Linked DNA regions of Mus musculus. The protein of the gene in region 7 interacts with the protein of the main gene of each other region in a pairwise test. Links are inferred from orthologs where the notes say so. Each region holds a gene or a part of one and is shown on either strand. Other genes may lie near its edges. The genes, in order: Fam110a, Cdkl3, Ctsz, Cdk18, Txn2, Fchsd2 and Mtus2.

Region 1 (3,500 bases), on a different chromosome or scaffold from region 7:
AACAAAACTAGGGGCTTTCCCGGAGTCCTCCTGATCTACTTACTCCTTGGGAGCCTGAAGGGAGGGACGAAATCGGGCTACGGCACTGGAATAGACCAGAAAGGCTCAAGGTTGGTGCATTTGCGGTAGCATTTGGAAGCCCGTGGTGAAAAGAGACCTCAAAAGAGACGTTAAATCACACTAGGCGACCGGGATCCTAGCTTCCTCTTGAAGGGGCCCCTGTGACGTGCGTTGGTGCGGATCCGCTGGCTCATTGTGATCAGCTCTTACCAGCTGTCGCCTTTGTCCTAGCTGAGGCTTAGGTCTGCCCTTCTGGATCGGGCTTAGAGACCCTTGGCGGGGGCGGGGTCTACTCACTCCACAGTCAGAGCCTCAGTCTATGACAGTGCGTCTGGTTTCCGGAGCGCTGCCCATTTTCCAGGTGCTGCGAACCCGTTTGATCTTTCCAGCGGTGACCCGAAGGGACAGGGAGGCCTATTTTTAACTGTGTTTAGATAGGGGAACGGCCTGTTAAGAGCTGCCTCTTGTGCAAGGTGCAAGGCTGGTGGGAGAACAGGGACCCTGATGTCTACCTGGTGTCTGTCTACCAGGCTTGGGAACACTCATCTGTCCCCGCCCCCATTTCTATGTAGGGTTAGGTGGTGGGTATAAAAGCAAGGTGGTAGTAGGGGGGAGTTTCTGCCCTAGCCCTGCCCCTCTGACCTCCTTCCTCTTTCCTAGGTGATGTCGGGGAGTAGTGACTGCCTCAGCCACTACTAACGGGTTAGACTGGTTTGGGTGGCAGAGCAGATTGTGGGGGTTAGGGAGGTAGGGCAGAGTCTGGCTACCTAGACAGAGCTCTGTAGCAGTTCTGCTGGCTAGACCTTAACCGCCCAAGGTCAGTTGGGGGTCTGTTTGTATGGGGCTAGCCTTCCTTTTCTGCCCAACAGCCTTGGGAGACGCTCCCCTCCTCCCCAAAACTGTGCTGCGGTTTCTGTGGGGGCTGGGGGGAGCAGATGAAGGAACAGGTATATCCGTAGACGTAGGATGCTTGCCAAGTGAGTACTAGTTGTCTTTTAAAAATGCTGATGGCATTTGCTCACAGTTAAAAACCTAGAGAAAGCTTGTCCTGGGTTTGCCAGTCCTGGTGACACTCCACTCCTCACCCTGGACCCACCTGCCTGTGGTGGGCAGGGCCTCTCTCGTGCGCTGGGGTACTGGTTCTCAGCTGACCCCCACGGGCATTTTAGTTTAGGACACACTTGTGGAATATCTAGCATGTATTGAGAGCCACATCATGAAGCTGAGACTCAGTGAACAAAGCAGCCGAAACCTGTGCCCTCGTGGAGCTGACATTATAGGGGATTGGGGACAGCAAAGAAAGAAAGAGCCTTATCCACAGTAAGTTATATGGTACTAATGGATATAACGAGAAAAGAGAGATTGTGAGAAAAGAGAGATTGTGTGTGTGTGTGTGTGTGTGTGGTACGTGGAGAAGTGGTGTGACAGGAATTAGTGTGCTCAGGCTAGGCTTCATGGGAATCTGCCTTTTTAATCTCCGTTGGGACCTAAGGAAGGAAGTCACTCCCAGAGTCTCAGTTTTCCCAGCCATAAAATGGTAACAGTGGCTTCCAGGCTCTTGGAGGAGGTACAGGAGAGTAGCTCTGAGTGTCTGGCACACAGTGGGGATCCTTGTCTTGAGATGTCTGGTTGTTCCGGCCAGGCTATTACTGTGTTTGGGCACGCAGTCTGGTATAGCAGCTACCTGCCATGCAGCCGTGGAGAACTGGAAGCATGGCTGGTGTGATTCAGGAGCTAGTGACTAGATGCTAGATGCCGAGTGACCTCGCTCAACTGCTGGTGCCCTGGGGGACCTTCTCCCCTCCCCCCATTTGCAGACCAGGAGGTTTGGCATGTGGGCTTTACATTGTGCATATTTGAGGGGTCTGAGTGGTGGGGAAACTGGCACTTTCTGACCTTGTTTCCTTGGAAACAGAGATGGCTGGCCTGACTTGCTGGAATGGTCTAACACCTGACTCTTGGCTACCCACAGGGACCCTTGAGCACCTACAAGGGTCCTGCAGCCCATGGGGCAACTGTCATGGCAGGTGGTCAGCAGCACAGCACTGGGTGGGACATGCTCTGGATAGTTTCTTGCAACAGCAGAGCTCGGGGCTGATGTTTATGCCTGGATCTCTACAGGGCTTGGCCTTAGAGCCATGTCCTGGAAGTGCTAATCTGGACTCTACTAGGGTGGGGGTGGGGACTTTCTGCTCCCTCCTCCCTTGCAGCCTCTTGCTTTTGTGCCCCTTGTGGGTCCATCATGCCCAGGCAGGTGGTTGGCACTGCGCAGCTTCCTGCCTGGGCTAGTTGCGGGGTGTTGGTGGTATCTGGCTGTCTGTACAGTTCAGGTGGGATGTGGATGATGGTTTCTCAACCCCAACTGTCCAGTCGCTAGTACCCCCTCTCTCGGAAGAAGGGAATGGTTTAAGCAAGACCATTGCTTCCTTGAGCTTCAGTTTCCTAATCCCTAAATGGGGCTGTTGAGAGGACCCTGGGTCTTGAGCCTGTTTTGTTCTCTTTAAAGTGGACCTGACTTCTCTACCTCTTTCCTCTCCCTCAGCTGTGCGGGTCCCCGCCCACTACTGGAGGGAAATGGAGTGGGTGTGGCCACAAGCCTTCCAGTAGTACATTTTGCCTGGTGATTGGCTCTTTGCGAGGCAGGGGCGTGCCCTTTACCTTATAATAGCGCAGGCTTCGCCGCCAGTGAGCCTTTGTCTGAACGTGCTCAGCCAGTCTTCTTTCCTTGCTTGCAGCGGAGCCCGGTATCCTGCTGCCAACTTTGTGCCTGTATCTGTCTTCTCGCCACTGCCCTCGGGGTATGTAACGGCCATGCCTGTGGATACGCTGAGCCCCGGAGCCCCCGCCACTCCCGCCCTACCTTTTCGCCTGAGAACCAAGGTTCCCGGCTACCTGCTACCAAGGCCAGCAGACGGGGGAGCCAGGAAACCGAGTGCTGTGGAACGCCTGGAGGCTGATAAGGCTAAGTACGTCAAGAGCCTGCGTGTGGCCAACACCCGCCAAGAGCCGGTGCAGCCCCCGCTGGTCAGACAGCCCCTCTTCAGCCCTGGTCCTCGCGGCCCAGTGCTCACACCCAGTCGCCGAGTCCTGCCCTGTTCTGGCCGCCGGCCCCAACTGGACCTCGACATCCTTAGCAGCCTCATCAACTTGTGTGATAGTCCTGTGTCCCCATCTGAGGCCAGCCGAACACCTGGAAGGCCAGAAGGATCTGCCCACAAGGTCCCACCAGCCACCCCTCCTCGTCCGCCACCCAGTACTGTCGCGGTGCGCCGAGTGGACGTTCGTCCCTTGCCTGCTTCACCTGCTCGGCCCTATCCATCACCTGGCACCACTACCACTTCCAGCCCCGGCCGGCCCCCTGGCCTGCAGCGGTCCAAGTCGGACTTGAGTGAGCGCTTTTCCAGGGCAGCAGCCGATCTTGAGCGCTTTTTTAACTTCTG
Region 2 (3,500 bases), on a different chromosome or scaffold from region 7:
ATAAGCTCTAAGCAACACTGACAGCTCCTGGTTGCTTCTAATAACTACAATTGGTTTCTGTTACTCTTTTCAAGGCTACCTTTTCAGGAATACCACATCACATAAGCATCTGAGAGAACTGCTTTGATTCATTTTCCCCCTGCACGCATATGTGGTTCGGGTTTCTGGGCTTCTCATGGAATAGCAGGATAAACAGTGGCACATCGAAGCTTTCTGCAAACCCAAGACCCCTATCTCACCCAATGAGCCAACAGATTTGCAAATGGTATGCTATGCAGATTTCCCAGACATGAGTATATCTCTTAAATGCACAAGCTTAAAGAATCTTTTGACTTAAAATGAACTAAAAGGCTTTCCTTAATGGCCTTCCTGGTCAATAACAGCTCTGGTTCTGCAAAGTAGATTGCGACACACACAAGTAGTCTTGGGACTGCCAAAACAAGACTATAGCTCTAAATGTCACAATGGAAATGCCTTATAGGTTTTCAGATAAATCTATACATACACACACACATACATACATACATATGTGTGTGCGTGCGTGCGTGTGTGCGTGCGTGCTTTTGTTTTCTCTGAGACCAAGTCTCATAGCCCAGGATGGTCTCAACATCACTGAAGATGACCTTTCACTTTTAACTCTTCTGCCTCTGCCTCTGCCTCCCAAGTGCTGGGATTAGAGATCTGTACACCTGGTTTACTGGAGCTAGGGCCTGTGTATGCTGAATCGGCACATTACCAACTGAGTTACACAACCTTCCACTGTTCCTTATTTTTAATTTACTCAATTTTCTTTAATAAAGCAGGAATAACTTTATCATGAATTAAAATATTCATTCGTAGTAGGAAATAATAAAATGTATAAGTTATGCACACAGATGACCTCATTAGGAAATCCGAGGCCACATGCATGCTGGGACTCAGTGAGTGTTGGTTTAGTCTCCTTCCCTTAAGAGAATGCATTCAAATGAATGTTGATGACAGCAAGATTTCTGAATAAAATCCAGGAACTGATGTGGTGAGTGGGGTTGGAACTGGCAGCAGACATTTTTGAAAACAGGCCAACAGTTAGGGAACAGTGACAGACAGTAATCTGGAAGAACACAGAAGGGAAAAGCCAGAGGCAAACACAGTGAGTGGTGCTATGCCCAGGGCAGTCAGCTACTACTTGTCCCATGGCATGGGTCACCTGAGCAACACTGGAAGGTGAACACACCACAGCTGCTCTCTGTCCTGGATGCTGTGTGTTCTAATCACTGAAAATTCAAAGGAGGGATGGTGTTTACTACTACACAAACTAACGTTTAGGATCTTTCAATACTTGGTTATAAGAACACAAATAACTGGATATAGTGTTATACGCCTTTAATCCCATCACTGGGGAGGCAGAAGCAGGCATATCTCTGTGAGTTCCAGACCAGTCAGAGGTACATAGTGAGACTCTGTATCAAAAGCCAAAAATATACATAAATAAAAATAAGATAAAACAGACCTGTTTCTAAAGTTTAAAGATTATAAAAGTTTTAATTTTTAAAAAATTTCTGCTAGTAACTAAATTTAAACACTCATTAAAAGACAAAACAACATTCTATAAAGATTATAAAGTGTTTACCTCTTGTTTTTCTTGATTTGGGTCCATACTAAGTAAAGTTGGTATTTTAGATGAATCTGTTTTCTTTGATTCTCTCTTCAGCACTTTTATCTGTTTAACTTTTGGGGGAAAAAAAAAACATGTAATTTGTTGGCCCTTCCTTGAAACTATATTTTCCTCTCCAGGTCTTCAGGTAGGTATCCCAGTAGCCCCTAAGCCCACTTTTGAACTCAAGCCTCCAAGGGACTGAGTAACTGTGAGTTGTAAGATACAGTATGATTTTATTTTGTGATCTCACAAGAGCTTGTCTCTATTTTCACTGAGGGACCCTCAAGTTGCACATTCTACATTTTACACCTTGCTATTGTATCACATTTTTATAAGGTGTCTGTTTTCCAAGGAAAGGAAAAAACTTTTGCTCACAACAATAAATTTTATTTTTAAGTATTTGCTTAATTTTATTTCAGTATCTTTATTATTTATTTGTTTACTGGTATGGGGCCAGTCCTCTCCTTCTACAATGTAAATCCCATGATCAAACTCAGGCCATCAAGGCATCAAGTGCCTTTACCTGCTAAGCCATCTCACTAGCCCTTAAGATATAATAAAGTTATGATAAATTCTACATTTAGAAAAAAAATCTATGAAATCCCTGCATGCCCAAATCATCTATAACACTTCCGGGAACTGAGCAGAAAAGCGCTTTCCCCACATTATGTATGGAACGTTATGTAAGTTTGTCTTCCTCAAATTCTGCTCCAACATCTCAACATTAAGCTAACAGAACATTTACCATTTCTGGTTGTCTTTACCTTTCTTTACAATTATCATTATTAAGTCTGACCCTTGTTGGGCACAGTAGACCTTTAGTCCCAGCACTCACTCTGAAGGAGGAAGCAGGCAGATATCTGAGAGTTCAGGCCAGCCTGGTTTATATAGTGAGCTCCAGGACAGCCGGAAACACACAGACCCTGCCTAAACAAAACAAAACAAAACAAGTCTGACTCTTTATTTCGCCTACTTTTTCAAAGCAACTGGTTACTTCTACAAAGATCTCCCGGTAAGTGTCCTCACAAACAGCCCCACCCCTTAGCGAGCATCTACATACCTTCCATCCCTTTCATCTCCTTCGCCTGCACTGTGAATGGCAGTTCAGGGAAATGGAATTCTTTCCTGTCGCATTTGGGAAAATTCAGCTTTCTTTTGTTCCCACTCGATATTTGGTCATTCTGACCTGTTCGCTCATTAAATGCACCTTTCTCTGTTTGGACCTAGACAAACAAGTACCAGTTAGTAAGAAGAACTGTGGGTGACACACAAATCAGCAGACCAGAGCAATACTAACACTGAAGCAGCCAGACTCCCAGGGACATTTTCCAAGTGAGGTTTTTAGTCCATTTACTGTTCTTGATTTAGAAAACCACAATCTTGACTTTGTTGTTGTTGTTGTTAAAGATAGGGTTTCTCTACGTAACCACCCTGATTGTTCCTAGAACTCACTTCTGTGGGCCAAGCTGACCTCAACCTAACAGAGAGAGGTCTTCCTGCCTCTGCCTCCTGCATGCTGGGATTAAATGTGTGCAGCACCCCTACCCGGATGTTTCAACTTTATGCTATTATAAATAATGCTGTGCCTTGAATGTTATAAACTGATTGTACTATGTAAAGAAATGATGGGCGAAAAAGAGAAAGATATGGCTAGTACTTCCAGAGTAAGGAAACTCCATCTATTAACTACCTAGAAACTCTATCTAAATCCAGGAAAATATTTTTGAAAGAGAAAAGCACGTCTTGTGATTTGTAAAGATGGAAGCCATACCTTAGTAAACAATTTAAGATAAAGAATAAGATGGTACAGATACAGCTCAGTGGTTAAGAGCAGTTATTGCTCTTGCAAAGGACCAGGGTTCAA
Region 3 (4,272 bases), on a different chromosome or scaffold from region 7:
CGGGGGATGGGGCTGGCTCCAGCTAACCCAACAGGAGCAACAGGGCAGTGAGAGACGGGTGGGACCAAGGGTCTCTTGGTCACCTATCAGAAGTGACTGGTCAAGGAGAGGCCGCTTGGATGCTTAACCGCATCAACCATTGGCAAACGCTTCATTAAAGAACCCACACGCCCCTTAACCCAGAGACGGGGAAAGGTATACTAGTCTCCTGCTCTGTCCCTGGCAAATGGCCAGGGCCCCACGGAAGTCCTCTCTGATGTCTACTCATCGAAAGAGGAAGCAAGGCTCTGACTGCTACTGACGAAGATGTCGGGGACTTAAGAAGAACGGAGCCGGGCGTGGTGGCGCACGCCTTTAATCCCAGCACTCGGGAGGCAGAGGCAGGCGGATTTCTGAGTTCAAGGCCAGCCTGGTCTACAAAGTGAGTTCCAGGACAGCCAGGGCTACACAGAGAAACCCTGTCTCGAAAAACCAAAAAAAAAAAAAAAAAAAAATGAAGAAGAAGAAGAAGAAGAAAAGAACGAAGCAGCCATTTTCCCCAAGGACACTGCCTTGTAGCAACTGGGAAGATACAACCTCGGTAGGGCCTAGTGCCCACCCAAGAGGGGTAGGCCCAACAGCCTCTGGCCATCTCTCCTGATCCTGCAATGTTCTACACCCTCCTCGTTTAACTCGATCCAGAGACCCAAGGATCTTTCCCACTCCATGTCACACTCACCCCACACTATGCTCTGCTGAGAGGGGCCTTTCGCTTCCCCAACAGCAGTCTGGCCACACCATTCCTAAGCGCCCCGGACTTTGCTCTACTCCTCTGCTATGGCTGCCCACTCCTTACCCCCTGCCTGCTTGGTAAGTACCTCTTGTCAGCCCACCTTCTTTCTTTCTTCCTCTTTCTGAAAAGTCAGCAGTATGCCCCAGCCCTCAGAGGTGGCTCTATGAGGGGCCACAGCTACATCTGCCCCTGGCTACTGCTGGGGTACAGACTGCCCTCAGACAGGAACCCCTCATCCTCAAAAGAGAGTCCAGGCTGATGGGCTGAACTGAAGCTGCCATCCATCTCACAACGCAGTCTCCCGACCTGAAAGAGGCTTCCTAGGCTGGGCACTGAGAGCCAACTGGCAGGCAAGACCTACATAAGCCCTACGGGCAAGAGCACTGCCATTTCAGTAATGAAATTTCATTTTCTTAATCCTCAACCTAGGCTCCACCTACAACAGACTTGGCCAAAAAGATACCCAATCAAGAGAGGACACTGGCTGAGTCCCACTCCCAGGCAGGAGACTCCCTTCCCCATTGGTTTCCAGGAACCACCTCTGGGGATGGCAAAGCTGAATCTCCATGCTACAGGTAGATTGGCACTCCCTGGCTCCTGCTTCCTCTACCAAGGAAGGGCACAGCAGCCCTCTGGGGCCTCTCTCTTCCTACTGAATGAACTTCTACTTGACTCTTGGGCGGCCAGGCTAAGGTTCGAAGAAGAGAGCTGGGGGGGCCATTTCGTACTGGGGAACATGTTCACCTCAAATGCCAGCTGCTACTGAGAAGCAGTTTCACTTCCACGCCCCACAAACCAACTGTGAACTCAGTGATTTTGCAACACCGGTCCCATGGTTCTCAATGGCTGAAGTCACAAGTTCTGAGGAAGGGAAGGTTCCTGGGAGCCACTTGTCACCAGATTCCAGCCCAAGCCTGTCCCACAGAGGCCCTAGTAGGCCCACAGGAGAGAACTCCAGAATGACACAGCCACCTCACTCTGGCTGAGGGGAAATCCAAGTCTGAATCATGGTACAGGGCCATGGGCCCCTGTAGCCCCGGGCTATGGCTATCATGGCTCACCTAAAGGTAGATTGGATGGTGAAGTGCAGCCACCCACCTGGCCAAGATACTGGCCCTGCCCTAGGCTTAGCATGGAGCGCCAGGCCACCTACCTGCCATGGCACTGGTGCTGCCGTGGGCCCAGCAGGAACCACAGTACTGTGGGATGTGCTGGTTCCTGGTGACGCTGGCATAGTTGACACCGTTCACATTTCTCCAGTCCCAATTCTTGGGGAGATCCGCTGGGGACAGGTACTCATGCGGCCGAGGATAAGTCCTGGGAGGACATCATGGCAATGGAAACCAACTCTGGAACGCATAGGGCCTCCCCTCTCCCTACCCCCACCAGGGCCACAAATCCAGTCATTTCTCCTGTTGGCCTTCTTCCCAAACTGTGGTCGGTTCAGAACTTGACCCAGAAGAGCCACCAGCAGAACCCAGGACTATTGGAAGCTGAATGTGACAGAGCATCTCCGAAATACGCTAATGCTCACTAACAAAGGCAGTAGAGGCGAGAACTGCCCAAACCAGCAAACCCCAGAGCTCCCCGGATGTGAAAATCATCCCAAAAGGAAGGGATGGGATTTGTGCTTCCCAGGCCTAATGAGGGAGGATGGGGCAAGGTCCCAAGTGTCAGGGGGTGCGCGCCTGGCCTAGAAGTTGACCCTTTTCCTCCCTAGGCACAGCCCCGCGCCCACCTGCGCCCCAGCAGAGCCAGCTGGTCCCCGCGAATGGGATGGTAGCAAGTCTGGCCCGAGCGGAAGTAGAGTCTGGCCCGTGCCGCACTCGCCAACAGCAACATCAGCAGCACCAGGGGCAGCTGCTGCACCGACCCCGACGACGCCATGCTCCTGCTCCGGGCCAATTCGGATCCTGGATCACGCGCAGCACCTTCGACCTCTTGACCCGACCCGCAGGCCCACGCGCTCGGGACGCCCCGCCCGGTCCTTTAGGAGGCGCCCAAGTTGGACACACCCCGAGGGCGGGGCCTTCCCCGCTGCTCCTGCCCCCGCCCCGCCCCGCTCGGCAGCCCCCAGGAGATAATCTGCCTCACTAGGAATCAAACAACCGGATCAGCAGAACCTGGGGTCACACAACCAGACCCCAGACCTGACAGTGCCACCAGCCATTGTGATAACACGGACTGACAGCAAAACTTAAGTTTACTATTCAGAGACCCAGGCATCCTGGAGCAGGGTAGGGCTCAGCAGGCTTCCATTGGCCCACTCAGCCCAGATTCTTTTGTTTCTCTGCTCTGGAGTGTGGTGCAGTGTCCCATTAGGTTAGGTCTCCCTAGGAGCGCACAGAGATATCCTGAGGCTGGAAGAAGGTGTGGGTCATACCCAGCATTGGACTCTAGCCTGGCTTTCTGAGCCCCTCCTCTCCACCCCCCAAGACCCAGGCTTTTCCTGAAGAGACAGCTCTCCTTCACAGAGAAGGATCCTTCCAGGATTACTCTTTTCTTTTTTCTTTTTTTTCTTTTTTTTCACTTGGCACATATATCGTGAGTCCCTGGGGTTCTGGAAAGGGTCCCTGCTAACCAGACTCTTCCAAGATGAGGAACTGAGAAAGAAGTGGGACCTGGCCAGCCTAGGTTTCGTAATGGGAGAATTTCCCCTTCCCCCTGTGCCCCGTGAGCTATTGTCAGCAGTCCCAGGCCACAAAGCTATCTCTTCTTCTGTAAGAAACATCCCCTGGTGTTTTATCTCAGGCTCTCTCCAGGTGGTGGGTGTGAGATTCCTGATGCGCGATGGCCAGTGGGGCTACAGCCATTCCTCTGTCTGTGGATAGGGGCAGTCAGAAATCATAATGGCTGTCTTGCTGCCTGCCTTTCCAGATCACCCAGGATTCCAACAAGACTCAAAAGCCTGCTGGATACCTCCTGTCAGAGAGCAGAACAAGACCTCAGAAGCAAACTTGGGGCTACCCTTAACAACGCAAGAGTTTTGTTCCCTGTTGCTATAAAGTAGTCACGGAGGCAAATGAACACTGGCATCTGTATGTTGAAATCTTTCATCCTGGGGGGTCATGGCAACCTCTCCCTTCTGCTGGGTGGTAAGTAGCCTGGTAGGAATGAGGGCCTCCCAAGGCCCAGGCAGAGACCTGAGTTCCCTAAGCCAGTTCTCCCCAGTAGTGACCATGCATTGACCTTAGAGCCCTTCGGTCCACTCTGGGGGAGTGTCGCCTCCCACGTGGGTTCCACATGGGCTCTCTCTCGCAGGAAGGGGACAATTGGTCTTGGCGATTCTATGGCATCCCACAGGCAAGGTCTAGTGAAGAGCACAATAGGGCAGCAGCGTTTATCGGGAGAGTGTGTACTCAGTGTGCTCACGGTCCCAAGTTCAATCCCTGGCACAGATAACGAGCAAATGAATGAGTGGAGTTTTAAAATTAACAAAATATACACTTTAAATAATGTGTCGTCTATGTGTGCCTATATGTTATATGTGTGCATGAGTC
Region 4 (4,272 bases), on a different chromosome or scaffold from region 7:
ATAGGAGCCAGTGCTAACCTTGGTGTGTTCCTACCCTCTGAGATGGGAAAGTGCCAGCTCAGCAGTGAATGCCTAGAGAGCGAAGGTGAAGGGTCCAGGGAAGAGGAGAGAAAGGGTTACTGGGGGACACACAGCCCAGGGAAAGAAATGTGACTTATTCCCAAAGGAGTGGAGCTAAGCAGGTAGACCTGGAACTCAGCCAGTCAGTCCCTTGTGGACAGCAGAGCAGAACAAGGACTGCAAATAATTAAGTCCCAGGAAAGGGTCCTCTTACCCCAGGCGCAGGGTCCTGCCAAAGTCCTGCAGCCTACCTGACCCACCAGTACCCAGAAGGCTTAGTACCTGGCACAGACTGCTGGCCTTTCCTGACATGTTTCCATTCAGCCCACCCACCCACCCATTTCTTATAGAGAACTCTCCTCTCCAACCAAAAGGGGGGAAACTTCTAGCCAAGGCCTTGGCTTGCCGGGGTTTCATGGTCTTCCGCCCCAGAGTCAGCCACGGGGTATGACTAGGACATCGCCTTTCCCAGGCCTCACCACCACATGATCACCTCGGCTTCCATGTGTTATACAATAACAGCCCTCCCTACCAGGAGCCCCTCTCCAAACAGAACACTGAGCAAGTTCGAGAGTTTGCTGGGAGCCACAAAATCAATAGGAGGATTCTAGAAATGGCTTAGATTTGACCATCCTTTCTCATCTTCAGGTCCCAAACTCAGAGAAGGAAAGATGGAATCAGGAGAGGAGGAGGAAGAAGACGAGGAGGAGGAGGAGGAGGAGGAGGAGGAGGAAGAGGAGGAGGAGGAGGAGGGAGAGGAGGAAGAGAAGGGAGAGGAGGAGAAAGAGGAAGAGGAAGAGGAGGAGGGGCAGAAGAGAAGGCTAGAGTGAGGTAGGAGTCAGAAGACCCAAGCCAGGCTTTTTCCCTATGAAGAGCGGCCTCTTCCCCTGGGAGCAGGATCAATTAACTGACAGAGAACACAGGGTTTGGAGAGAAACACAATCCCATTCCCTCTGGATCTCAGGGCAGCTATCCCCTCCCCGAACAATCCCAGACTAGGAATCCACTTGTTTCTCAGATTATTGTCCCTCTGGTAAAGCCTGGGTCTGCCTGGGGAGCCTGATTACTTAGAGAACTACCCCTGTCCTCCCTGGGAATTCCAGCCCAGGAAGAGCAGGAGTTGGGACCGGGCTTGGGGTCAGATAGATGTAGACCGGATTGAACCCGTTACATCACTCTCACCCACCCCTCCCCCAGTCTGTTCCTTGGCTAGTGCATTAGTGATCATAACACTCATGAACTATCATAACATTATTATGACACCTTGCTTGGCACATTGCAGAGATTGGAGACAGGAGCTGGGGCAGAGGGAGCCTCCGATGCAGCCCAAGTCCACAGGCATAGCTGCCTGTTGGCCACACCCCAGAAGCTATCCCAGGCCCAAGGCATGACAAAGACATGCGTTCTTGAGACACAAGGATTTGGATCCCCACCTACCCCGCCTCACTGTGGGCTATGTGCCTCCATTGAATCTCACATCTGATAGGGTGGGGGCTTTGCGACCCACGGGGCCCAGGCCACACAACACAGCTGGGTAGGCTGGGGAAGATTGCTCAAGGCCGAGCTGGGATGACAAAGAGGGGCAGATGGCAGCAGCCAGAACTCAGAAGGTTCTGAGGACTGCCCCTATCCCACAATTCTACCCCTGCTCCTGGGAAAGCTTAAGAGAAATATATGAGGCCGCTGGAGCCTAGAGGGGTGCTGACCCCTCAGTACAGGGAAAACAACCCCAAGGCCATCAGGGGCCTGTCCCCCAACCGCGTGGAACAGAGCCTCTGACCCACCCCATTTTCAGAGTCCTGTTTGTGACCTCCAAACAGAGCAGTCAAGCCATGCGTTTGAAGAGCGAGCCACCCACCCTCCTTTCCCACACGCTATCAACCGCTGTCCACAGGAGGGGAGGATCATTGCTTCTCTGGACTTAGCCCAAGAGAAGAGACACGTTCCCTAGCGACTCTCCTCACCACGCAGCCAGCGCTCGGGGCTTCACCTGTCCTCAGTTTTCCCCAGGTCTCTGGCCTACCACCCATGGCCTGTGGGGCTGGAAAGTTCACGAAAGCCCAGAAAGCTCTTCGAGGTGGCAATCTGGCCCTACACTCTCCTGAATCCCTTCGTTATCGGGACTCCTGACCCTTGTCCTTCCCATAAGGAAAGCACTTAGCGTCTGGCTTGTGCCTGGGAGGGGAACTTTTGCGTTTGTAGGGTTCCGACGGAGGTCAGGGCCAAAGGGAGTCCGGGATCCAGAGTCCCCGCGGGGCACGCGTTCTGCCTCAGCACCTGGAACTTGGGAGTGGCTTTCCCAGGGCATCCTTCACCCCACACACACACCAAAAAAATAAATAAATAATAAAAAAATAAAACGCAAGCGCGCCTGCCGAGCGCCCATCGCCTATGGCAGCTGGGGAATTCTGCCCAAATCTCCAGCGCAAAGGCAGTCGGCCCCTTTAAGGACCGCCCGGCTTACCTTTGCTCAGCTTGCCCGGCGCGGTGCCCCTCTCTGGCCGCCGCGGCGGACTCTGCGCGTGTCCCGGTCGTGGCGAGCCGGCTCCCGCCCTCCGCGGCCGCGCTGCCAGGCTTAGGTGCCCTGCCCCGCGCCCCGCCGGGGTCCCTACTCGGGACCCTGGCTCTTCCTGGCCCTGGAAAGGTGAGCGGTTTTCCCCCCAAAGAAGCTGTAACCTGAGCTGCGGGAGAAGGGAGAAGGGAGGGGTGCAGGAAGGTGGGTAAGAGGAGGAGGAAGGCAAAAGCCGGGCCCCAGCCAGAGTTTTTCACGTGTACAAGTTGACTCCGCCTTTGTCCGGACCGGCCCTGCCCACAGTCACTGCCAATCCCTTGCTCTCCCTCTGTCCCAGGGCCACCCCTTTCTCCCACTCTGGGAACTAAGGCCTGTGCTTCTTCCTGTTCCCCTCATAAGCTGGCCCTAAACTAAGTACAGGGTGAGGCCCTTTAGCCTGGACCACACCGGACAGGTCTCTGTCTCTACCCAACCTGCTGAGTGCCAATTTCGGGGGGTGGGGGGAGGGTAGTGGGGGCAGCGCCTAGCACCTAAGAGCTAATGTGCGATCTCAGGGCACAGGGCCTCGCCTATTCTCCTCTCTTTTATGGAGTGTGAAATTGTCACTTACCTGATAATATCTCCCTGATCCCTTCCCCCATCTCTGCCTCTCCATGGCCTGGAGGAAGAGTTCCTTCCCACATAGCATCCCTCTTCCACTATGAAGAGGAACAACTCTGTCCTTTTTGGCCAAGTGAATCAACTAAGAAGCTTTGCAGATAGGCAATGCTAAGTCAGGTCTCGGTTTACACAAGGGGAAACTAAGTCTCAGAAAGGAGACTGAAGAAGCCCAAAGTCCTACAAGGCTTAGAACCCAGGTCAAACATCATTCTCCCACACTGTCTAACGTCAGGGGTCAAAAACCACCACCAGGGGCGCTGGAGAGATGGTTAAGCAGTCCTGAGCAGTTACTGCTCTTGCAGAGGACCCCGGTTCCGTTTCCAGCACCCGCATGACTGCTCACAACTGTCTATAGCTCCAGTTCTAGGGAATCTGACACCTTCTGATCCATGGTGCCAAGAACATATGTGTTAGATACACACAGCTGTGGGCGAAATTCGCGCGTGCACACAAGCTAAATATAAATAAACCTTTTGTTTGTTTAAAGCACGCCACAAAAACGCTGGGGTGGGCTGAGGGTCAGCCTTCTTATGCTGGGGCCTTTTTATCCTTGCTTCCGGTGCTCTGCCGGGACTACATCAAAGAGGTCCTTGCCCTCTGTTCTTTTAGCAGATATGGCACATAGCTTCTGCAATCTGGGTGCCCTTGAGAAGGCTGCTTTGAGGAGAATGTGGTGTTGGAAAGAGGACAGTTTTCTTCTAAAAGACAGAGTCCTGAGGTCACAGCCACATGAGAGTGACTTATGGGTGGCTGACATCCCACAAGGGCCTACCAGCTCTTTGCTACCTTCCCTACCAGGGCATGGAGATTTTTCTGGGAATGAGTGTTTTATGCAGCTGTGGCTGCTACAAGCTGAAGGGCTGCAAAGAGTGCCTACAGCCAAGCCTCTGGATTTGGGACAGAGGATACCTGTCCTGTTCCATGAGTAACTAGGAAAACCTAGGCTTAGGCGTGGTGGGGAGGGCCTGCACTCAGGAGGAAGAGGCAGGAGGATCACTATAAGTTCAAGATCAGCCTGGTTTCCCCAATGAATTCTAGGC
Region 5 (2,222 bases), on a different chromosome or scaffold from region 7:
CTGAAAACAGGCATCATCAAGTGACAGTGTCCCCTTACCCCTGGGAGAGCGACGGGCTGGGCTTTCTTGGTTGGGCAGCTTGGCACTCTATAGACAAGGGAGCTGGAGAGGGAACAGGATGGGTGGAGGGTCCGGTCCCAAAGACTAGACCTTCCTGTGGGCATACATGGGAAGAAGTGCCACCCAGCCAGGAGGGGCCAGAAACCAGTCCAGGCAGAAGGTCCCAAAAGGCTGAGGGAATCCAGGTCTCTGAGACAACCCCTTTGGCTAGAGCCCAGCTGCACTCCTTAAGCCCTTGTCTGCATTTTGGGAAACAGCACAACCACCTCTGGACCTTAGAGAGGATGTCTATGATGGCACACCCAGACCAAGAGCCATGAAGAGTGGGAACACAAATCATGAGAGGGGTGAAGAACCCAAGAGGAGCTGGGGACAGTGGTGGGCCCGGGAATACCCGTCCATCCCAAGTGCTCAGTGCCCACAGAACAGCAGCCAGTGGCAGTGCAAACCTGGTTTTATTGGTCTGACTTGTTCACAGCTCCTCCTCCTGCTCAGGGACCCAGAACCAAGGCCCAGCTAACTCAGGGAGGGGACAAGGAATAGAAGGGACAGATTTAGGCTATGGGGTGGGCTCTGTTCTTCACAGCAAGAGGTAGAAGGACCACATAAAGTTCTTTATTAGAGACCTACAAAAAAATGAGAGAATTATACATTACTCTCACTTGTTCGGCTTCTGGTTTCCTTTTCAAGCAGAGGCAGGAGAGGAAATGTGCCAGAGGCTGATGCATGGGGGCTGGGGCTTCAGAGGGCCACAGAGATGGGGACTGGGCGACCACTAGTGCGGTCAGGCTACAGGCTGGCCCAGGCTTTCTCCAGCATCTAGGGGAATGGCAACAAGCCCCGGAAGAAGCACACAGTAGGTGCACAAGAGGAGCACACAGTAGGGGGTGCACAAGAATGACCCCCACACCAGTGGCAGCACTGGCCCTCTCCAGGCCACCCGGGCTGAGGGCTGGCTCTGAAGTGCTGGTGGCTCTTAGGTTTGGAGGGTCTGCTGTCACAGGCAAGACCCACCAGGATAAAACAGAGGGGCAGGGCAGGAAGGATGACAGCTGAGGGCTGGGAGTTCTACTAGGCTTCTCCCCAAAACAGACTTCCAGCAGGCAAGGGTAGTCAGGCCTCCTCTCTGCTCGTCAGCCAATCAGCTTCTTCAGGAAGGCTTCTAGCTGGTCCTCGTCCTTGATCCCCACAAACTTGTCCACCACGTCCCCGTTCTTGATGGCTAGCACGGTAGGCACAGCTGACACCTGGGTGAGGGAATCACAGGGTCAATCACTTGGAGTTGACTGTCTCTTGTGTATCTTCCCTAAGCCTCTGTGGAGAAGGCCAAGGTCACAGGAAGGGCCAAAGGAAGTGGGGTCTTTGCTTGGAGGAGACCCATCCATTAGAGCTTCTTCTACTGCAAGTTCCCAGCATCCTCCTCTTCCCTGGACCATAGGACCGACTCGCTGGTCCAGTGGTGTGTGTGTGTGTGTGTGTGTGTGTGTGTGTGTGTGTGTGTGTGTGTGTGCTGTGGGCCAGGCTGCTTCCCGAGCGCCTCACGGCCTCTTTCTGGGTCCTGGCCATGCATGGTTTACCTTGAATGCTTGAGACAGAGCTCAGGGGTCGGGGATGCCAGCTCCAGGACTGGGCGGCCCAACCTCACTCCTACCCCGGGGGAACCTGGTAAGCCCTTTAGTACCTCAAGTCTCGGCTTGTGGAGACACCGACAATGTTTTCAGTTGAATACAGGAATGCCAAGAGACACATGCTAGGATGGCACAGGGCGCAGGGCACACTGTGGGTATGGTGGAGCTTGACCTGCCCAGGACCACCTTGGTGGGCTACAGCTAACGGTTATGCACAGAGTGGATGGGGACAGTCCTATGTGATCAGAGGCTTTAATTCGGGCTGGCAGAGGGAAAGGGGCGCTCTTGCTCCGTGAGGTACTGCTTCCACAGCTCTGGAGACTCAGACAGATTACACGAAATGTATGTGAGGATTTCACGTATATTGAAATCCTGGGGCTGGAGAGATGGCTCAGTGGTTAAGAGCACTGTCTGCTCTTCCAGAGGTCCTGAGTTCAATTCCCAGCAACCACATAGTGCCTCACAACCATCTGTAATGGGATTCGATGCCCTCTTCTGGTGTGTCTGAAGACAGCTACAGGGTACTCATATAAA
Region 6 (4,072 bases), on a different chromosome or scaffold from region 7:
TCCTCCATGGCCCTTGCTGTCTCCCTATGGTTCTTAATCTCACCTAATCCTTTCCTCTGCCATGCTAGTGATGAACTCAGGGCCTCTCTGGCTGCTAGGCATGCGCCCTAACACCAAGCAAGATACCCCTCCTCACACTCAGCCCTTGGGATTCTAGGCATGCCATGTGACCTTGAGAATGGCTCCAATTCTCTGCGGACACCAGCCTTCCTATCTGTGATATGGGAGTGACCGATTCAAGAGATTTTCATTCTTTTCCTCAGTTGACTCCACGAGGTCTGGCTAAGTACTCTGGAATAGGGCATCCATTCCTTTGCCTGGCAATTTTAGGTTATTTCACCTGTCCTCCAATGGCATAGGTCTGGCACCTGCGGCTAGTTGTAAAAGGACTTGTTCATGCTAAATTTCTCAGTGCACGTTTAGCTGACTAGGAGGGAGGGTACGCTGAGGGACTGAGAGAAAGCAAAATCCCGAATCCTCTTAGGTACCTCCTTCCTTATTGCAAACAATCCCACTATGAGCCTAGCCCCCCTCGACTCCTGCCAAATTCCCACACAAACTGTGCAGCCGCAGATGCAGGCGGGAGGCGGGGGCGGCCTGTGCGCGTGCGTCGGAGCAGAGTCCTCTCCCTCCCACGTGCGCGCTCCCGGAGGAGTCGCGCGCCCCAGCGGGCTGGCGGGAAGGCGCGCGGGAAGCCCCCAGCTGCCTGCTCGGTGTGGGGGGAGGGAGGACGGGAAGCGTCCGGAACGTTCCATCGTCGGAGAGAACTGGGGTAGTTCTCGAGTCCCGTTCCCGTCCCCACCGTTCCCCTCGGCCGAACAATCCGTGAAGTTTCCCCCTTTCTCACACCGAGATCCGGAGCCCCGTGGCGCGGCCTGGCTAACCTCCCCCCCTCCACTCTGAAGCAGGCGGTGTGGCCGGGAGCGCATCCCCTCTGCAGCCGGAGCGGGGCGCTGTGGCGCGCGCCAGGGGCCGGAAATTCCCGCGGCCTGAGTGGTTGGCGGAGCTCTAACAGGGGAGCGTGGCGCCGCCTTCCTCCTTCCCGGGCCGGGCGGGGGCGTTGGGCACCGCGAGGGCCGGGCTGCCCGAGTGGGTGGGGGGCCGCCGCGTCAGCCAGCTGCAGCCGGGCCGCGGCAGGCGGCGAGCGCGGACGACGCGGCCGCTCCTCCTCAGCCGCCCGGCGAGCCGCGAGCCCCCCCCCCCCGGCGGCCCCCGCCCCCTGGCCGTCTCCGCCTCCTTCCCTCACACACCCCCCGGGCCGCCCGGGCCCCAGGCCTTCCCGGCGCTCCTCCTTCTCTCCACACTCGCTGCGACCCGGCTGCTCCTGCCGCTCGCCTGCCTCGCAGCCTCCGGGCCGATTCCTCTTCCTTCTCCTTCCCAGGCTCTCCTTTCACACACACACAAGCGCGCGCCCTGGCTTGCTGGGCCGCCCCATTTTCTCCAACCCTCCTCACCCTCACAGTCCTTTAAACGCCGCCGTCAGGGGTGGGCGGAGGATTGATGTCCCTTCAGCATCATGCAGCCGCCGCCGAGGAAGGTAAGGGCGCAGCTGGCGGGGGGCTTTGGAGATTTGGGGGGTGGCGGTGCGTACAAAGAACGCGGCTGGGGCGACCGCTGCGCCCCCTCCCCCTTCCCGCAAGGGACCGTGACCACTCTAGCTTCTTGGCTTGTCAGAGTTGCCGCCCGCCCCAAGCAGGGGGTCGCGTGTACGGGGTGTCTTTCTGACGGAGGGGCGGCCAGTGCTCCTCAGTACTAGGGAGGACACCTCCCTCCCCCCGAGACACTCGCTGGAGTTTTTTTTTTTTTTTTTTTTCTTTCGGGCATGCATGTGTGTGTCTGTCTGCATGGCAGTGCTGCCCAGAGCAAAGTGCATTCTCAGAGCTGTATGGGGGAGAGGCGGGGGAGCCCCTGCAGATTTGCAGAGCCTTGTGCGTGACGGATTGTTTAGTCTGCGCCAGGTTCGAGCCCTCCAGTCGCTTGTCGACACTCCACCCATTGGCAAATTCGCGGGGGGATTTGTTTCAAGTCTCGCCTCAAGATTTGGCCTTTTTTTCCCCCCACGGGGCTGCGGAAAAGAAGTTGGAACGGTCTCCGCCCTCCCACCCCAAGGGAAAGCAAATTAAGGATTGACGGGTCCTGCTTAACCCCCACCCCCCATCCCTTTTGCCCCGCCTCGGGCTAGGGGGCCAGGAAAACAGCAGAGCTTCCAGTACGAAATCCAGAACCTGGCGTTGCATGGTTTGAGCACTACGGTTGGGGTTTGGATGGCCTGGGTGGCAGTGACGGTGCTCTGGGGCTGCCAGCAACTCGGCTGCTCCCTTCTACACCTTTCCGCACTGCCAAGGCTGTGTCCTTGCCTTTTTAAATCTTTCAGATGGATACTAGGTATCTACTCTGAGCAGTGGGTAGAGACAGTTACATCCTTCCCTTGTGGGCAAACATTTGCCTTATGAGTAACTCATCATCTATGCTTCCCTTTCTTTTCTCTTCTTAATCTGATTTTTTTGCCCAGTTACTGATCCTCCCCCTTTCCCCCTGCACGTGTACCCCACCTCTCCATGTAGCTTTGCTCTGGTGGTCGGGATTCCACCACGATCACACACCAATTGAAATCCCAGGGTCCGGCCTGGCGAGGATGGCTCCAGCCAGCTGGCTTTGGCGGTTCTCTCTGTTTGAAGTGGGCTGCCACCCGGCCTGGCTTGCTGGGTTAGTTTAAAAGCCCTGCATATGCTGGAAGGTCACTTTTGCATTCTCCTTTGTGAGAAAGAGATTATGATTTGATGTGCTGTCAGAGTGGAGGGCATCATTCTGAGACTGTGTGCTTTCTTGCAGCCATTACGGAATATTTTATGTAGTTTATTCGTGAATATTATTTCATGATTGTGTACATTTTGGTCGCTAGGTATTAGGTACACTCATCTGTGCTCCCTGCTCCTGTGGTTAATGTCTGAATCTTTGGGAAGCAAGAGAAAGCAGAATGACAGTTTGCACCCCTTTAAACTGCAAATTTTTTTTTTGTATTTGTGAATTTTTATTCAGCCCCTGTCTTACATTCCCTGGCTAGTTTTTTTCATTAAACTTAGTTAAGTAATAAAATTGGATGGGAAATACGAACTTTTTGGTCTTTGGGGATAGGAAAACTAGAAGTATACATTCTAACAAATAGTGTCTTCTTTAAGTAATTTTTTTCCTTCAAATTGTAGTAAAAGCCTTCATAAATACATACTGTGTTTTAGGTGAAAGTTACACAAGAGCTGAGAAACATTCAAGGTGAGCAGATGACAAAACTTCAAGCCAAACATCAGGCAGAATGTGACTTACTTGAAGACATGAGGTAAGATTATAGTAGGAGCTGGAGAACTTCTGTATCTGCTGCCCAGAACCCTTGAGTGGCCAAGCCCTAGGATCTGATGATGGAATTTCCTTTTGGATTTCCTGCTTTCAGGCTGTAGAATTTCGACTCAGCTGGAAGTTAGAACAGGAACTAACACAGTTTAAATTCGACGTACACACACTGTAGAAAAATGAGGGCCTTAAGAGTCTTATCTGTTAGAGCTGGGCATGGTGGCTTATGCCTTTAATTCCAGCACTCGGGAGGCAGAGGCAGGCAGATTTCTGAGTTCCAGGCCAGCCTGGTCTACAAAGTGAGTTCCAGGACAGCCAGGGATACACAGAGAAACCCTGTCTCAAAAAAGAGTCTATCAGTTAGTTTGTAATCACTCAACTGGAAATTCTTACATCTTTTCACTGAGTTGCAAGTTATTTATTGGCTTTAACAATTCTAACATTTTAAAGCTGACACTTGTGGTTAGTGGTTAATATCTGGGATGAGCCAGTCACCCCAGATGAAGCTATACTAGCACTATTTGGCAAGTATTACTTTGTGTTTGAATGTGCAATTCAGTGAGAATGATATGTCATGTTTTAACTAAAGCTACCTATATTCATAACGGGAAACTCTGAATTTAATAGCTAAGGTCTTGCACTAACATTGTGAGAATGAATGTTATAACAGGGTAGTAAGATGGACATGGTGGCATGTATCTGGAATCCCAGTAATCCCAGTGCTCTG
Region 7 (4,021 bases):
GCCTCCCAAAGTAAGTCCAGGTGAGGGACCAGAAGGCCAAGATTCCCAGCCTCTTTGTATAGCCAGCATGGAAAGGGCTGCAGTAGTTTCAGCCAGCATTCAGGTCTCTAGAAAATTGTTAAACCTAACAGTTTTCTATTCCAGCCATCCTCCTGACACAGTTCTTATCTCCCGTTCACAAACGACCATCCCTGCTGCTCCCTCTAATTTGGCAGCAGCTATTCATTATAAAGCCGTGTGTGTGTGTGTGTGTGTGTGTGTGTGTGTGTGTGTGTGTGTCTGTGTGTCTGTGTGTGTGTGTCTGTGTGTGTGTCTGTGTGTGTGTGTCTGTGTGTGTGTGTGTGTTTGTGTGTGTGTGTGTGTGTCTGTGTGTGTGTGTGTGTGTGTGTGTGTGTCTGTGTGTCTGTGTGTCTGTGTGTGTGTGTCTGTGTGTGTGTCTGTGTGTGTGTGTCTGTGTGTGTGTGTGTTTGTGTGTGTGTGTGTGTGTCTGTGTGTGTGTGTCTGTGTGTGTGTGTGTCTGTGTGTGTGTGTGTGTTTGTGTGTGTCTGTGTGTGTGTGTGTGTGTCTGTGTGTGTGTGTGTGTGTGTCTGTGTGTGTGTGTCTGTGTGTGTGTGTGTGTTTGTGTGTGTCTGTGTGTGTGTGTGTCTGTGTGTGTGTGTGTCTGTGTGTGTGTGTGTCTGTGTGTGTGTGTGTCTGTGTGTGTGTGTGTGTGTGTGTTGTGTGCATCCCACATGAGCCTAGGTTTTTATACATTCTCCCTCACGATTTCAGCTCTGACAGCCTAGTTCCATGTCAATTATGTAATAGCCAAAGCAGGGAGTTTAACCGAGTACCAAAAGCACCGTCGTGGCTCTTACATAAGCTCCCATAAAGCCTCTGTAAGCCCGCCCCAAGCTGTGGAAATGTGGACTTATAAAAGATGCCAGCTTTCCCTCTGTCCTTAAAATTACCAAAAAGGCTTTTGTGCACCTGATTGACTGATTGCACTCCTATATAGTATATGAAAACATCCATTCAGTGAGAAAAATAATCCTTGGTGAAACAATTTTTTAAAAAAAAAATCATGCAAACAAAAAGAAGGCACTCCCTCTCCCCAAAACTACTGAACTTTCAGGGTTTCCTCTGCACAATGCACTATACCCCAACTAAGACTCCCATGGGTACCCTCTGTGGTACTAAGGACCCCCGGTACACACAGCTTTTCTTTGCAAGGAAAACAAGCAGGAAAATCACTTAGATGAAAAAGACCCGGGCTAAAATCTTTAGCTTCTCTCCAGTCAAACACAAGTTTCTCTCCCTATATGTCACACGCCTGGCTGGGGTACCTCGAACCCACCGAGCCCCACCTTATGCTGCTGGAGACTAAACGAAGCACGAAACGATGCCCACCAACAGTCACAACCCTGACTCCACATGAGCCACACACATAACAAATGCCATCACCAGAAACCAGTAAGAACAAGATGCGTATCTGATGTTTTCCACTCTCATCTTTGTACCTGAAAAATTACGGTACGTGTGAGCAGAGATCTTTAATAACTGTCAACACACGATTAGCTATGTCCACGTGACAGCAAAATACAACTACCTAACAACTTAAAAGCCAAAACGGCTATGTGACAGGGATCTATTTCTTTAAGTCACTTCCCACCTATTTATTGTCAGAGACGTCCCACTGGTTTTCATAACAGACTTAAAAAAAAAAAAAAAGCCTGTTTTGTGTCTTAACGCTTGAGAGTCTACGGTATGAATTTTTCTTTTGAAAGGACCTCCTGTCGCCTTTAAATGATACCAAAACCATCTCATGCTTATCCTGAAGGAAAGTTTTGAGCTAAGACAGAAATTATGGCTCTGACTTCCTGCGCTCTTACGTTCTCTGGTAACCGCTCCTAACTTTACCAACCAGCAAATATTCCTGTGAAGCACTTACATAACAAAAGAGTGCAGGCGCCTCTGGCACGCCGCCAAGCGTACTTCTCTGGGTGTTTGTATTTAAAATAGAACGGTAGTAACATCACTTGCAAGCCTTTCCCTGCACAGACTCAGAATGAAGGGGGTTGAAAAATGGATGGAGCAAGCCTTACCATTCTAGGGCTCCAAGGAAATAACACATCGGTGCTAAATTAAGACGAAGACACGGACCGAATTATCCCGAGCTGGGGGTGGAGAGGGGTGGGAGCTCGCTTAGGCTAACCCGCTGTCGCCTCTGAAACACCGTGCTCAACCTGACATCCCCGGAAGGTGCGAGTGGGTTGCAGCCTCTCTCCGGCGGAGCAGAAGATGTGGGCAGCGGGGAGCGGGCTCTCTGATGCCAGAGAAGCCAGCAAAAGGCACCGCCTCCGCCCCGCTCTGCACCTGTCTCCAGCCGGATCGGGACGCGCGGACAGCAGTCGCTCACCTGGGTCTGGAGGAGCCAAGAAGGATGTGCAGAGAGACCAGAGCAGCCTCCGGGAGCATCCCGGGCCGGGCTACCTCCGCACGCAGCTCCTTCGCAGCTGGAGTTTGCAACGCGCCCACGCGTCCAGACTCCTGACCCACCCGGGTCTTCTGCAACTTGACAGAGCGCGGGCTGAGGTGGCGCAGGTGGCGAGCTTAGGGCACCGGGGTACCTGGGGCCGTGGCCGCAGCCAGCCCTCCGCCCGCGCACTTCACCACTGGGCACCGCCCAAGCCGCCGGGCTCTGATCACAGGGATGGCCCGGGCTGAGGACGCCTCGCCGGACAAAGACGCCGCTCCCGCCCACCCTCCAGTGAGGTGCCGTCCGCGGTGACAGAAGCCGGGCTGCAGCGGCCCGAGGCGCGCACCCCCTCCCGGCCGCCCGGAGATGCTCGCGAGCCCCGGCGCCTCCTCTCGTCCGGAGCCCCGTGGGGGGAGCCGAGCGCCCTCTGCTGGCCCGACACGACCCGGCAGCTCACGGGACCACAGTGGTCCGGAGCATCCAGCCTCAGACCCCAGAGAAAGGAGAAGCAGCCTGAGGTCGCTGACCTAGACTCCTGACTCCCACGAGTGGGATGTGCTGTGGTCCAATCGGAAGAGAGAGCCTCTTTTAATTGCGTGCAGCAGGAAGAATTGGGGTCCAGCGGGTGAACTCGCAAGGGATGTAGCGGGGCTGATGGACAGGAGACTAAAGAAGTCTCTGTAAGGGTTTTGTGTGTGATTGTGTGCGGGTTTGGCGGGGGTGGGGGTGGGGGAGTTGGGGTGTTTGAGGCAGGATCTCACTTGAGACTCACAGATATCCTCTTGCCTCTGCCTCCAAATCTAGGGGTAATGCATAGCCGGCTACCCACTTGAAAGACTCTTGTCTCAACGCAAGCTTGTCTGCTTCGTAGTTCACAACGTTCCTCAGAAGTAAACATGAACGCAGGACTTCTCAGTAGCCCTTCCAGGTCGCCTGAAAGCAGCGCACCTGGGAAGCCTGAAGACAGCCGGGGGGCTTCTCCAGCCTCTGGCTCACAAGATTTGGGACAGACTGACAGAGAAGACAATGAGATGCTGGCTTACTGATGTGCTTGCTCGCTTTCTCTTGGGGGTCGGGAGTGTGGGGAAAATGGGCTCCCTCCCCCACCCCAGCATTGCTGTGCCGAGCAACATTTTATACCAGCTGAATTTTTGTACTAACTGGTCTATATTGTGAAGGGAAATCATGAAAGAGCACTTTTCACACGGCTGTCTTTTTACATTATTCTATGTGGCCTCCCATTTCTTCTGGAGGAATCTAGGGCACGTTTTATCGCTTTTCCTGTCACCTTCGGGTGTTAACAAGCGGTCTGACTGGCTGTTATTACAAAGTCCAGTCCAATCTAAATCAAACTTTAAGCTCATTTCATTTAAGCCTTCGCCCCTCCCTTCCCCTAACTCACAAACCCCAGCCTGACTTAAACCTAGAAAGATAGTAAAGCCTCCTTTGTGCCATTCACTTTCCTATTTGGGTGCTCTGTGAAGCCCATGCCTCCCAGGTGCAAGGAATGAGGTCCTGGCGCTACAGCTCCTTCCTCGGGCCACTCCCACTCCTCCAGGGACT

The links.
Region 1: the proteins of Mtus2 (region 7) and Fam110a interact in binary tests that used the Homo sapiens proteins (3 or more experiments, as listed by UniProt). The link is inferred for Mus musculus from reciprocal best matches to the Homo sapiens genes MTUS2 and FAM110A.
Region 2: the proteins of Mtus2 (region 7) and Cdkl3 interact in binary tests that used the Homo sapiens proteins (3 or more experiments, as listed by UniProt). The two-hybrid records come from large-scale screens. The link is inferred for Mus musculus from reciprocal best matches to the Homo sapiens genes MTUS2 and CDKL3.
Region 3: the proteins of Mtus2 (region 7) and Ctsz interact in binary tests that used the Homo sapiens proteins (3 or more experiments, as listed by UniProt). The two-hybrid records come from large-scale screens. The link is inferred for Mus musculus from reciprocal best matches to the Homo sapiens genes MTUS2 and CTSZ.
Region 4: the proteins of Mtus2 (region 7) and Cdk18 interact in binary tests that used the Homo sapiens proteins (3 or more experiments, as listed by UniProt). The two-hybrid records come from large-scale screens. The link is inferred for Mus musculus from reciprocal best matches to the Homo sapiens genes MTUS2 and CDK18.
Region 5: the proteins of Mtus2 (region 7) and Txn2 interact in binary tests that used the Homo sapiens proteins (3 or more experiments, as listed by UniProt). The two-hybrid records come from large-scale screens. The link is inferred for Mus musculus from reciprocal best matches to the Homo sapiens genes MTUS2 and TXN2.
Region 6: the proteins of Mtus2 (region 7) and Fchsd2 interact in binary tests that used the Homo sapiens proteins (3 or more experiments, as listed by UniProt). The two-hybrid records come from large-scale screens. The link is inferred for Mus musculus from reciprocal best matches to the Homo sapiens genes MTUS2 and FCHSD2.

What each region holds. Positions count from the first base shown.
Region 1 is NC_000068.7:151,970,220-151,973,719, reverse strand, and holds part of Fam110a (protein FAM110A), read left to right. Parts: exon of another isoform or gene 1-110; intron 111-317; exon of another isoform or gene 318-421; intron 422-748; exon of another isoform or gene 749-877; intron 878-1,229; exon of another isoform or gene 1,230-1,276; coding exon of another isoform or gene 1,277-1,380; intron 1,381-2,795; coding exon of another isoform or gene 2,796-2,871; coding exon 2,872-3,500.
Region 2 is NC_000077.6:52,031,721-52,035,220, reverse strand, and holds part of Cdkl3 (cyclin-dependent kinase-like 3), read right to left. Parts: intron 2,860-3,500; coding exon 2,697-2,859; intron 1,708-2,696; coding exon 1,610-1,707; intron 1,440-1,609; coding exon of another isoform or gene 1,419-1,439; exon of another isoform or gene 1,350-1,418; intron 1-1,349.
Region 3 is NC_000068.7:174,436,240-174,440,511, forward strand, and holds the start of Ctsz (cathepsin Z preproprotein), read right to left. Parts: upstream 2,801-4,272; 5' UTR 2,660-2,800; coding exon 2,511-2,659; intron 2,090-2,510; coding exon 1,926-2,089; intron 1-1,925. UniProt on the Homo sapiens protein: Exhibits carboxy-monopeptidase as well as carboxy-dipeptidase activity. Capable of producing kinin potentiating peptides.
Region 4 is NC_000067.6:132,136,886-132,141,157, forward strand, and holds the start of Cdk18 (cyclin-dependent kinase 18), read right to left. Parts: upstream 2,801-4,272; 5' UTR 2,525-2,800; intron 1-2,524. UniProt on the Homo sapiens protein: May play a role in signal transduction cascades in terminally differentiated cells.
Region 5 is NC_000081.6:77,914,551-77,916,772, forward strand, and holds the end of Txn2 (thioredoxin, mitochondrial precursor), read right to left. Parts: intron 1,308-2,222; coding exon 1,194-1,307; 3' UTR 501-1,193; downstream 1-500.
Region 6 is NC_000073.6:101,107,503-101,111,574, forward strand, and holds the start of Fchsd2 (F-BAR and double SH3 domains protein 2), read left to right. Parts: upstream 1-1,272; 5' UTR 1,273-1,516; coding exon 1,517-1,537; intron 1,538-3,236; coding exon 3,237-3,334; intron 3,335-4,072. UniProt on the Homo sapiens protein: Adapter protein that plays a role in endocytosis via clathrin-coated pits. Contributes to the internalization of cell surface receptors, such as integrin ITGB1 and transferrin receptor.
Region 7 is NC_000071.6:147,956,099-147,960,119, reverse strand, and holds the start of Mtus2 (microtubule-associated tumor suppressor candidate 2 homolog), read right to left. Parts: upstream 2,801-4,021; 5' UTR 2,399-2,800; exon of another isoform or gene 2,085-2,398; intron 1-2,084. UniProt on the Homo sapiens protein: Binds microtubules. Together with MAPRE1 may target the microtubule depolymerase KIF2C to the plus-end of microtubules. May regulate the dynamics of microtubules at their growing distal tip.